3 linked regions of the Oryzias latipes genome follow. The protein of the gene in region 1 binds, or shares a complex with, the protein of each later gene. Links are inferred from orthologs where the notes say so. Each region holds a gene or a part of one and is shown in the gene's direction. Other genes may lie near its edges.

Region 1 (3,653 bases):
ATGAGATCAAACAAAATCAGAGAATCATTTAACAGCTGGAACCTGGGCGTACGTCCAGGGCATCAAAAATAGTTTTTCTTACGCTGTTAAACTTGCTGCTGGACTGGTTTAACGCCGAGAAGATCTGGTAATTTAAAAAAAATATATATTTTTCAAAATAAAAGATAGCTGAGACTCAAAATCACCCGATTGGGTGGAAAACTGCAGAATCTGGCGCAGAATCTATTTGCCACATTCAGGAACAGCAGAATCTGGCAAACAAGGAATCTGCGCTTCCGTGTTGGGCTCCTGTGACGCATCGACACAGTAGCTGTATTGGTCATGTAACTTTTCCTGAAGCGATGCGCGCACCAGCAGGGTTTCACTTTATGAGCTTGACATGTGTTTCTCAAAAATGCATCAACATTAACTATAAATTGAACCACAGAAATATAACCTTTATTTTTGTATGTTTATTTTTGTTGTCTTACATTGGACTTTTGTCTTTTAACTAGCATCCCCTAACATTTTGACTAAAGCATACTGATTAAGGTAACTGCAGTCTGAGAATGTTTGAAAATGGACAATTATTTATATACTTAAACGTTTTTGAATAATCTAAGGGGAGACTTGGTCTCTTTTATGAACTTTTTCCTAAGAATTCTGCCTCTTATTTTTGGATTCCTAAACAAAAAGTGACGTCAAATTATATTCTTTAAAAAGCCACTGTGCTTTTTTGTTGCTTCTCTTATTTTTCACGAGCTTTGGAAATGTCGAACTTTGTTAAAAATGTGTTTTTGCTGAGACATTTGGTGAAGTTCTTATCAAATGTTGAATTTAAGCACAAATGTAAACACGATCAAAGTTTGTATTGTGTATAAGTTGGGAATTAATTTGTGGTTGCGTCCGTTTGTCATTCCCCGCCTCTCGTCTCTAACTGCTGCACACTGAGCATCCTCTCCCTGTTAATCAAGCACTAACAGCTTCATCATCACTCGTCGCTATGACAACAGCCTCTTTTATTGCATGTGTTTTGGCCAGCCTCCTCCCTCCCCCCCCCTTTTTCTGTCCATCTCCCCTCACCAATGCTCTCTCGGCTTATCCATTATCCTTCCTGAGGAGTCGCACAAAAACCGGGACGGTGCAGCATCTGTTACCTCCCTCCCCTAAGCGAGCGAGCCCCACCCCGGCCGGGCTCTGTGGGCGGCATTGGAGCCACACATTTGCTTTTTCTCAACACGCATTCCAAAAAAAAAAAAAGCTGTCTGGTTCCTCTCAGTCTCGACTGATTTGTGCGTCCGTTTGTTCGCTCAGGTTTTGTGCGTTTCAGCTGTCACAGGTACGGCGCCCGAACGTGGGACACTCACGGAAATGGTCCCTGGAATGATGGTCCCTGAAACCCGAGGAGCGCAGACTGATCCATGTTTATTTAATCAAGCGTACCCATGAGAAATCCTGGCTTCGGAATATTACAGCTGAGGAGATTGAGGGCTGCTTTTGCCGTTAGCGCGCACAAAAGTAGCTTTTAGAAATGATTGCTAATATCAACTGGAAAATCCTTAAAAAAATGGCAGATCCTAAAAAAAAGTGCCATTTTAAGAATCCTATTCAGAGAAACATGCAGACTCACCTGTCTGGCTGTGGCTGAAGATAGAAGACAGAAGATGCTCTCTCCTCTTTTCACTGCTGCACCTGTCTGTCGGTATTCCCCTCTTCTCAGCCTGCACTCGTCATGGGTTCAGTCCATACACTCCTCCTCCTCCTCTTCCTCCCCCGCCACTCCTTGCAGTGACCCCCCCCCCCCCCCTTACACCCCTTCTTTTCCTCTGCCTTAGCTCCATTTGTTAGCCAGCTTGTCATCGTTGTAACGTCCCGCCTACTCTGCAGCTTAAAGCTGCAGAGGCTCCAGCTCACAGCCTGAATCACTTAAGTTTTCACCAAATGCTAGATCCATTTAATATTCATGTCTTATCAGAGCAACAGATTAAAAACGGCTTAAAAAAACCCAAGGAAATGCAATACTATTTTTAAAGACCCATTTGTTAAAAATCGTGCTTTTGCTGTTTTTTAACAGGGTTTTTTTTCTGGCATTTTTCTGCTGACAGAGGACTTTTATTTTGAAAATTTAGCTTGAAATAGCCCTTTTGAGTTTTTTCTTGATTCAAATCCTCCTGAATTAGAAGTAGATGAGAAAACACCGTCTGAAAAAGATGATATTTGTGACGTGGAAACGGTCGGCGGGCCATGAGCTCCCTGCTCCGCTCCATTCTGATGCATCCACCTGTAGACGACTAGATCCACGAATGCCTTTGCTTTCCTCGCTGGACATTCGGCGAGCATGTAAACAGAGAGCTCTCAGCAACAAGGAGGGGAAAGGGGGGTGGTGTAGCTCCGCACCAACATTCCCCGTCCACACCTTAGAGGCAAATTTGGAATGAACTCCTGCCGCTCTGCAGAAACGACGTCCTAGAAAACGACACAGGTTTTCAGATTTGGGCGTTAAAACGGACATCATCATAATTAAAAGACCACTGGGAACACTTTGACAATAGATCAGAAGATGATCGGAGTGGGACTTTAAGTTTGTGTTTGCCAAAATGGCTTTAATCTCAACCGTAAAAAGCTTTTATTTTGAAATGTCATTCACAGAGAGCAGTAATGGCAACATCAACATCAAAGCAAGCTCCGGGTACAAATTCGGCTGCCTGGCTAAGATCGTCAATTACATGAAGGTAAACATGATGCTTTCTGTTTGTAGTCCAGGGTAAAAAATGTTTTTTTTTTCTCTTTTGTTTATTTGTTTTTTCCCCGGCACATGTTTTTGACGAACGTGTGAAGTTCATTTTAGCCCCCACATTAGCATCCACATCATTGACCTGCTTGTGCTCTCTCCATCCAAGCTGAGCAGTGGGCCGTGTCAATCTCCCCGACTGACTGAATCGGCTCCCACTTCATTCCACCGATTCTCTCTTTGTGTTCTTTGAGCCATCTATCTGTTGAATGCAGCGGCTCCAAGTTACCCTAAACCAATGGAGAGATGCACGGCCCGCCTTTTCACTGAGAGACTCCGATATGATGTGATGTTTTCTGACTTGTTTTGGTGTGAAATTACAGACCAGACATCAGAATGGCGACACACATTTCCTGGCTTTGGATGAGATTCTGGATGAGACCAAACTTCTGGACATCAGTATGAAACAGAAGCATTGGCTCATGACAGAGGTGAGTTTGCTGCTCCTCCCAGCTGTGAAGTGATGGAGTTGGTGTTTTGTTAGAAACATTTACCCAGCATCCAAGCAGCAGCACTGCGACTTCAGTTCGTTTTGAAGATCAACCTTTTCAATGAATGAGATCTGTCCAAAAAATAACAGAGAAATTCCACAAGGATCTGGATCTAGACGACAACTTCATCTGTCAGACCCAGAAGTTTTCAACCGAAACTGGAAGTCTCCTTTTCCAATATTCCTCGAAAAAACTTTATTTTAACAAGCGACTGTAACAGTTACAGTTTTTCTGTTTCATATGATGCTTTATTTAACCCATCGTGACGATCAGCATATATATATCGCTTTCCTTCGCCACTGCAGTCGAGGTAAGTACCGGCTGAGCGCCGCGTTGTCACGGAAACATGTCAACGCGCTGCACCGCGGAAAAAGTAGTCTGCTTTTTGCGAA
Region 2 (4,432 bases), on another chromosome or scaffold:
TTGAAGCGCCACACTTTTTGTTCTAATGCTTAAGCTTCAAAAAACCTTGATCCAATTTAGTTTTAGCTGACGTTTATGTGTGATGAGAGAGTTCTGCCCTCTTTGGTGAACACATCTGTCCAGAACACGGAGAGTTCTGCAGCTGCAGCTTTGTTTTGTCGATGATTAAGTCTGAAAAAAAGCACAAAACAATTTGTTTACTCAGTACTTTCACATCTCTTTGTGCCAAATGATTCAATGCATCATCTCTCACCACCAAATCAGCCCAATTTCAAAGTATTTAGAGATGCAAATACTTTGCTAAATCTTTTAGATTTCTCCTGCATTTCTATGATTTGAACCTTTTCAGTCTGAGTGTACAAAGTGAGACATGAACTCATGAGCTTCTGCACGGGTCCAGAATCCACCACTCCACCTCTCCCATCCCTTCCCAAGACTGACGACCTGCCTCACCTTGGACCTTCTTCTCCCATGAAAGCTGGTGGGAGTCTTCCTCTTTCTTCATCCAAAGTCAGTCAGTGGGTCGTTCTGTGTTTTTCCAGGTTTCTGCTGGTGAACAATGACAGAGGTTAGATCTGCCGCAGAAACACCAGCAGGTTCATCATCACAGCATCATCGGAGAAATCTCCTCTCAGCTTCTTCACTCCTGGTACTTTGCTGGATCTCATTTCCATTTAAATCTCTGCACACATTTTAGTTTTCTGTGGAAACAATATTCCTATTATTAAAAATGTTCTGATTCAAAAGAAGTTTATTCTTGATATTTTCTTTTCAATTCTACTTTTATTGCAAATAAACGTTCCCTGTAAAAACAAAATCATCTCCGCCTGCAAACTTTGTATTAAATATGTTCTTTCCTTTTCCTTTTTCACTAAAACACACGTAACAACGTGAGTTCACTTCTTCACAAATACATTAATCTCTTTTAGACACTTGAAATAATGCAAACTATTTATTTGTCTTAAAATAATGGAAAACCGGCAGTTATTTGAAGGAATTGGAACGAATCCGGCTCTCTGATTGGACACAGCAAAGTTTGATACTAGAAATTGGAACAATTCTGGCCATTTGATTGATTGAGAAGTTGGAACACTCTGATCAGGCCCGTCGGAGGAAGACTTCCTCTCGCCGTGCAGAAGCTCCCGAGTTCGCGGCCCGCTGTGCGCGGTTGCAGCATAAAGATCCTCTGCTGCTGATTCTTCTAAAGAAACAAACAACTGGAAGGGATTCACTTCTTCTCTCAACAGAAAGAACCTGTAAATGGATGAAAACCATGAACGCGTGAGGTCATCGATTGATCGATTCACAGACATTCATTAAAGGTGGAAATCAATGTTTTTACTGTGTTTGTCTTTAAAAACCTCATTTCTTAGTTTATTGTTTTATTTATTTAAGTAATGATTTTATAGTGTGTGTGTGTGTGTGGGGGGGGTCCATTTATAGATAAACAAAATCCTACTTGTGCTTTCTTTATTGTTTTTTAAATTCCTAAACTTTTTCAAGAGAGATTTTCTTTTTCGGACGTTCCCTGAATGTCTCGGACTAGTCACCTACTGGACTCCAGCGTGAAAGGTTCGGATCAGAACCGCTCTGGGTTCGGCTTTTGTGCTTCCGTGTCCTACTTCTCCCGAACAACCTGAGTCCAAACGACGGTGAGGAGCAGAATTCTGCTTTCTGAGCTTCACACATGCGACAATCATGAGAAGACGAGCAGCTCATGCGTGGCGGTTAAGATCAAAGAAATTGTTCAAAGCTTTTAGGGAAACGAAAGACGACGGCCGCCGTGTTTGCTCAATTAGTTCACTTTCTGGAGTGATTTAAGTCGATATTACGAGATTATAACTACTGCTTTCGTGAGATAACGGAATAGATGTGTTGCTCGTCTTGTCGAAAACACAGTTTAATGATGTGTTATTAGTAGAAAACAAAAACAAATTTAATTGTTGCTAACGTTCAAAGCTCTAATCTAAATAAATGGCGGATTTGAAAGTAGTTTCTGGCCCGCTAATTTCACCAAATTTCCATTCCGTTCCAGTAAATAACGTTAAACTTCTTATTTATTGCTGACTGTGGGTGTTTGTCGTCAATTTCTCTGCATTTGGACGGCCAGAAAGCGCGTAGAAAAGGTCCAGTTATTTGATCATTTGATCACTGTTTTTTTAGGACTACGGCAGTTGTCCTAAAGCGAGGTGATAAGGACACGTCTACAACTTGGGTGACTCCAACACGCTGGTTCACTCTAAGAAAAGCAGTAATAAAGTAATAGTATGGATTTATGTGGAGTTTGTTTGAACAATAGTGAGTACTTGTAATGTTTTAGAGGTTATTTATGTTGACTTACTGAGAAACTGCTATTGTTTGTCTGGGGTGTTTTGGTGTACTTTATTGACGGTCCCCGTCTGCCTCTGTAGCTTCACATCGAAGTAAACTCAGGCTGTGACTCGTTTTCTGCTTCACCACAGACACAAATAAAAAGTTTACACTAGTCAATAGAACTATATCCAACGTCATGTTTGTGGATAAAGTTAGTATGAAAAAAACAAAGCAGACCGGTGACCGGATGTGTCTGTGACACGAACACATTCTCAACTTCTAATTGCAGCTCATCTTATATGTTTGATGAGCAAATGAAGTTATTTGCCTTTATAGTTCTTGAAATACTGGAACAAAATTCCACAGAATAAATATAATGAAGATCCACCGTTTCTTTATTTTAGTTGAATGCAACGCTTCCATGTAATGAATCTCCAGGTGGAGCGGTGAAACAGCGGCACCATGTGGCAGATCTACAGCAGGTATTTTCTGCATTAAACATGACTGTATCTTTGTGTTTAGAAACAGGATTTTTGAAGTAGAATTTTACCTCACAGATGCTCACAATGTATTTAAAGAATTTCAGAGGCAGCATATTGGAGAAAAAGCAGGAAATGGTCAGAATTTAGTTCAACCAGGAGCCGACAGGCTCTCAACAGGGAAGCAAGCCACTCAGGATCGTCTCCGCACCAATGAAAGTGTATAATCCTGGTCTTTGATGGGTTCTTCTTATTGAATTTAGGTCCATGTGAGTTCTGTTCGTCCTGTTGCTGGAAGCAGAAGCACAGACTCTCGTCTCTGAGCTGATCTTTCTGCAGCGAGTCGTCGCTTTGGCTTCCTGCTTGAAGGCAGCAGCAGAATGACGTCAGTCTGACGCGATCAGACCAGTTTTCTCTTTCTCCACACAGATCCTTGTCTGAAAGAGTCTCCACCCCTGTGTGTGTAACCATCAGCACATGGGGGTTGGTTGGAGCTGCGGTGGGGGTTGGTAAAGGTCCTCCTGGAGGGGTGTTGACTCGACCTTTTGTTCTGGCGCTTCCGGGAAACCAGTCGCACTCGTCTGACGTGACAAAACCCCCCTTCTTTTCCCAGAATCCTTCCAAGAAGTCTCTCACAAAGTCAGAAAAAATGTAATTTTAATCTGATTTAAGCATTTAAGTCAAACTTTGAATGGAGATGGTGAACCTGAGACGATCCTGTGTCATGGGAGAAACAGAGGATCTTTTTTGGTGTTTTGTCTTAATTGTGGTTCCCTTTAAAGTCCACTGTGTTCCCTCAGATCACACCTCATGCTTGAGAAGAGTAGCAGAGGGGAGGGTTTAAAAAGCACTCCGAGACATTGGCTCATTGCACTAGTTCTCTAGTGCATATACTAAAATTGGAACGATACAGAGAAGATTAGCATGGCCCCTGCGCAAGGATGACACGCAAATTCGTGAAGCGTTCCTCATTTTCTCTTTTAAAAAACAATTTCACCTAACTTTGTGTCATTGTTTTAATAAAAATAGCCCTTAATATGAACCATCCAGCTAATATATGACAATTTTTAATAGAGTTCATAGCAAAAGTTTCAGGAAAACTCACAGCAGACAAAATTATAGATGTAAATTAAAGCCGTACGTGGCATTGTAGGCGCTACCCGCTTCTACACACCACCTCCGCTATCGCTGCCCACCTCTATGCAGCTCAGCCGCCCTCACCACCCAAAAAATGCATATACTAACCATCCTAACTATGGTAGTTATGCTAAAATGGCTAAAAGTGCTAGCTTAGCGATCAGCATCATCAGCGTACTCAGAAAAAACACATTGCTTAAGACTCTAAATATGCTAACACTGCTAGATATGCTATTTTGGCTAGAATTGCTAGCATTGCGATCAGCATCATCAACTCACTCAGAAAAACACATTGCTTAAGATGCTAATTATGCTAACAATGAAAGTTATGCTAGTATGGCTAAAAGTGTTAGCTTAGCGATCAGCATCATCAACTTACTCAGAAAAACACATTGCTCCATTAGTAAGAGCTACATATCATACGTTGATAAAAAATCCACTTTTATTTTAAATGGCGGCTTTTCTGTTGATTTTATCTCCATAGCAACCATTTTATGTTTTGG
Region 3 (3,004 bases), on another chromosome or scaffold:
TTCATCCCCCCCCCTCTTTTGGATCTCTTTGCATCTATTTAGTTACATTAAATTCCAGTTCTTTTCTCACTGCATCCGTGGTTACTGTTACTTAAGAAGACTTGACTGTTGTCACTTTCAGAGGTTACATAGTTTGGAGGAAACAAAGACCAACAAGTCAGTAAAAGTTACTAAAAAAAATAAAAAAGGCAATGAATTTTAGACTTTTTCTTTTTTTTTTTTAAACTTGTAATAGATTTTCTTTGCAACAACTACAGTCTGTTTGGCAGCACAAAAGGTAACTTTGTTTAGCCAAACCGAAGAATTTTTCTAGTAACATTTTATTTTTACGCCATTTACATTTTTTTTAATGGTTTATTTCAATCAATCAAAGCAAGGATAATGCACAAAACAATACAATCAGCAGTTATGCATTTATATAAAGACGTATCAAACTTAGGATAATTAGACATTAAATCAAAGATTGCTTGAAAGGGAGTGGAAGGAAGTGAACTTAAATAATCCCACTCCTGTTGGGTTTTTGATATGTTGTTGAAGTAGTCGCTTGAACTTCCGTTGCAGAGGCTGTTGTGAACATAGCATTGATGTGTGGCCCTTTGCCGATAAATCCGGATCCCCTAAATGTATGAACTGAATCCCAAGATGTTCTTGGCTCCTACTAGAAACAGGGGGTCATTACTCAGGAAGAATATCTTGAGTTTTCCTCATCTGCTCCAACTGTTCATCCACAGGTGATAACAAAGTTGGCAGGTATGGACGAAGAGGACTTGATGTTCTCCACCCGAGAGGAACAGCAGCAGCTGCTTCAGAAGGTCCTAGCTGCTTCAGACCTGGACGCGGAGGATGAAATAGTGGCAACTGAACTGGGCGTTCGACCACAGGTAAAAATTTATTTAAAAATAAAGACATAAATAAATAAATACAATTCATTTAGAACTTTTACTAATGGATTTAGGAATAGAAGAATCAACCCTGCAATGAACTAAAGCAACTTGTTTGTTCAGCTTGGACCCAGTTATAAGGAAGTCTAGACAGTTTGGTCCTACCTTTCCCAGCAGGTGACGACACCACCACGTTGTTGTTTTGCCATTTGTTTATTGTTGACCTAATAGAAGGTGGTGGAGCAGGGGTCTGCAGTCATTAACGCTAAAACAGTGATTTAAGCCAGTTTCTAACTCAAATCCAGTCAGAGCTGCAAAGTCACAGTTTAGAAAAATACACCTTACTTATGTTCTGTTGCCATTGATCCATTTATTTATCAAATGTAGCTTTTAACAATAATTGAATTATAGTAAAAAAATGTAGTGATAAAGTGATATATTTTTACATATATAACAATTATTTTACTTTTGTCAGCAGTATAAGTTCCTTTCAAAATAAAATACACCCTGTGTCAAATAAGACACAGATAGCTGTAGCAGATTTACAGAGTTAAGAACTGCAAGTTAAACATGACATTTTCTGTTTTGACTTTTGGTGCACCTTCATTTGTTTTCCCCTTTTCCTATCGGGAACAAACATGACAACATTGGTGTGGAATCAAAAATATATATCTATAGAATTATATACTTTAACAGCTTTGCCTCTGAACAGCAACTAGACACTCGTGTACAGCAGAAGATAAGAGTATGTGTATCATTTTGCTCAGTCATTAAATGTTAAAAATCTAAACATGAATGACTATTTTAAGATACACAATAGAGCCACTTTTTCCAGACTTCTGTGGTGGAGTCGTGCAGCTCACACCAAAAGACGTGTTTTTAGCTACCCCCTTATCAAATGAAGAAGTAGGACAAAGTAATACCTTTTTAATATAAGGAATGTTGCTGTGGCTCACGTCATCTGCTTTTATTTAAGAAGAAAAAAATCCTTTTTGGTTTTGAACACTTGTACTTACTTTTTGATTTCATTTTTTTTTACCAGGTTTCAAGGCGAGCGGGCACCATGAGCTCCATGTCAGGTGCAGATGACACCGTCTACATGGAGTATCAGAGCAAAAGCAACAAGGCTTCTTTTGGCGCTAAGAGTGTTCATCCTCTGTTCAAGCGCTTTAGAAAGTAGCTCTGCGTTTAGTATGGATTTAGTGTTATTGTTCCAGCCTACTGGTTTTTCAAAATAAAAGGATCAATAAGAAAAACTTGACTGGAATTTTTGTTCTACATATTTTTTTATTCCAGAAATAATTAACAGTGGTGTTTCATTTATACCTTTTTTTGTTCATGAAATGTACATTAAACTGCTTTAATTGGGAAAACCTGTAAAGCTGAAACAATGGAATCCTAGACCTCATCTTGTATTTATCTGTTGTTGTTCCTAGACTAACCTTGAAAGTTGACTGATTATGTCCTTTTAATATTTCTTAATGGTATATTTGATGTTGTTTCTTATCCAGAGGTAAATAAAACATATGATCTATTATAATAATAATTCATTTCTATGAAGGACATGAAAAGAAAAAATCAACCAAGTCCTTCTCTAGCAGATCTGTCATCAAGTTTCTATCTTGTAATTAACATCTTTGAGGCTTTAAACAGTGCCAAAGTACATGGTTGTGTCTTAAATAAATGTAAGCGTTCCATACTCTGCACCAATCACCCTCCAGTTGCAGCTATATGAAAAATTTTCTTTTAAAAACAGGGCACAGGGGCATGGAAAGGCCTTGTCTATTACCTTTTACCTTAGGGAACTTCCACTGATTGGTTTAGAGGGAGTAAATTGTATTAAGGTAGATTTGACTCAACGTGTTTGTTAAGTGTACACGGTGATAGTTATCAATGCTGCCAACTCCGAGCTCATTCAGAACACTCTGCAACAGTTTGAAAAGCAGCTTCTCCACGTGTCGAAGTGTCCTCAAAGTCGGTCAGAGTAAGTGTCCTCAGGCAGCACCATGACGCTTTACATTAAGCCCAACACGCTGATCAGTTTAAGTGTCGATGAATGAATTAACTCAGGATACCCAAAGAAGATAACTAAGGTCTCTTTGGTGTTGCCTTTATCTTTCACA

The links.
Region 2: gtf2e2 (region 1) and polr2k share a complex: the UniProt entries of both Homo sapiens proteins name them as parts of the TBP-based Pol II pre-initiation complex. The link is inferred for Oryzias latipes from reciprocal best matches to the Homo sapiens genes GTF2E2 and POLR2K.
Region 3: gtf2e2 (region 1) and ercc3 share a complex: the UniProt entries of both Homo sapiens proteins name them as parts of the TBP-based Pol II pre-initiation complex. The link is inferred for Oryzias latipes from reciprocal best matches to the Homo sapiens genes GTF2E2 and ERCC3.

The regions. Positions count from the first base shown.
Region 1 is NC_019859.2:11,941,410-11,945,062, forward strand, and holds part of gtf2e2 (transcription initiation factor IIE subunit beta), read left to right. Parts: intron 1-1,609; exon of another isoform or gene 1,610-1,759; intron 1,760-2,628; coding exon 2,629-2,711; intron 2,712-3,093; coding exon 3,094-3,201; intron 3,202-3,653. UniProt on the Homo sapiens protein: Recruits TFIIH to the initiation complex and stimulates the RNA polymerase II C-terminal domain kinase and DNA-dependent ATPase activities of TFIIH. Both TFIIH and TFIIE are required for promoter clearance by RNA polymerase.
Region 2 is NC_019869.2:7,013,625-7,018,056, forward strand, and holds the start of polr2k (DNA-directed RNA polymerases I, II, and III subunit RPABC4), read left to right. Parts: upstream 1-1,538; 5' UTR 1,539-1,652; intron 1,653-2,717; 5' UTR 2,718-2,795; intron 2,796-2,878; exon of another isoform or gene 2,879-3,358; intron 3,359-3,662; exon of another isoform or gene 3,663-3,768; intron 3,769-4,432. UniProt on the Homo sapiens protein: DNA-dependent RNA polymerase catalyzes the transcription of DNA into RNA using the four ribonucleoside triphosphates as substrates.
Region 3 is NC_019861.2:14,793,329-14,796,332, forward strand, and holds the end of ercc3 (general transcription and DNA repair factor IIH helicase subunit XPB), read left to right. Parts: intron 1-731; coding exon 732-881; intron 882-1,923; coding exon 1,924-2,061; 3' UTR 2,062-2,421; downstream 2,422-3,004. UniProt on the Homo sapiens protein: ATP-dependent 3'-5' DNA helicase/translocase. Binds dsDNA rather than ssDNA, unzipping it in a translocase rather than classical helicase activity. Component of the general transcription and DNA repair factor IIH (TFIIH) core complex.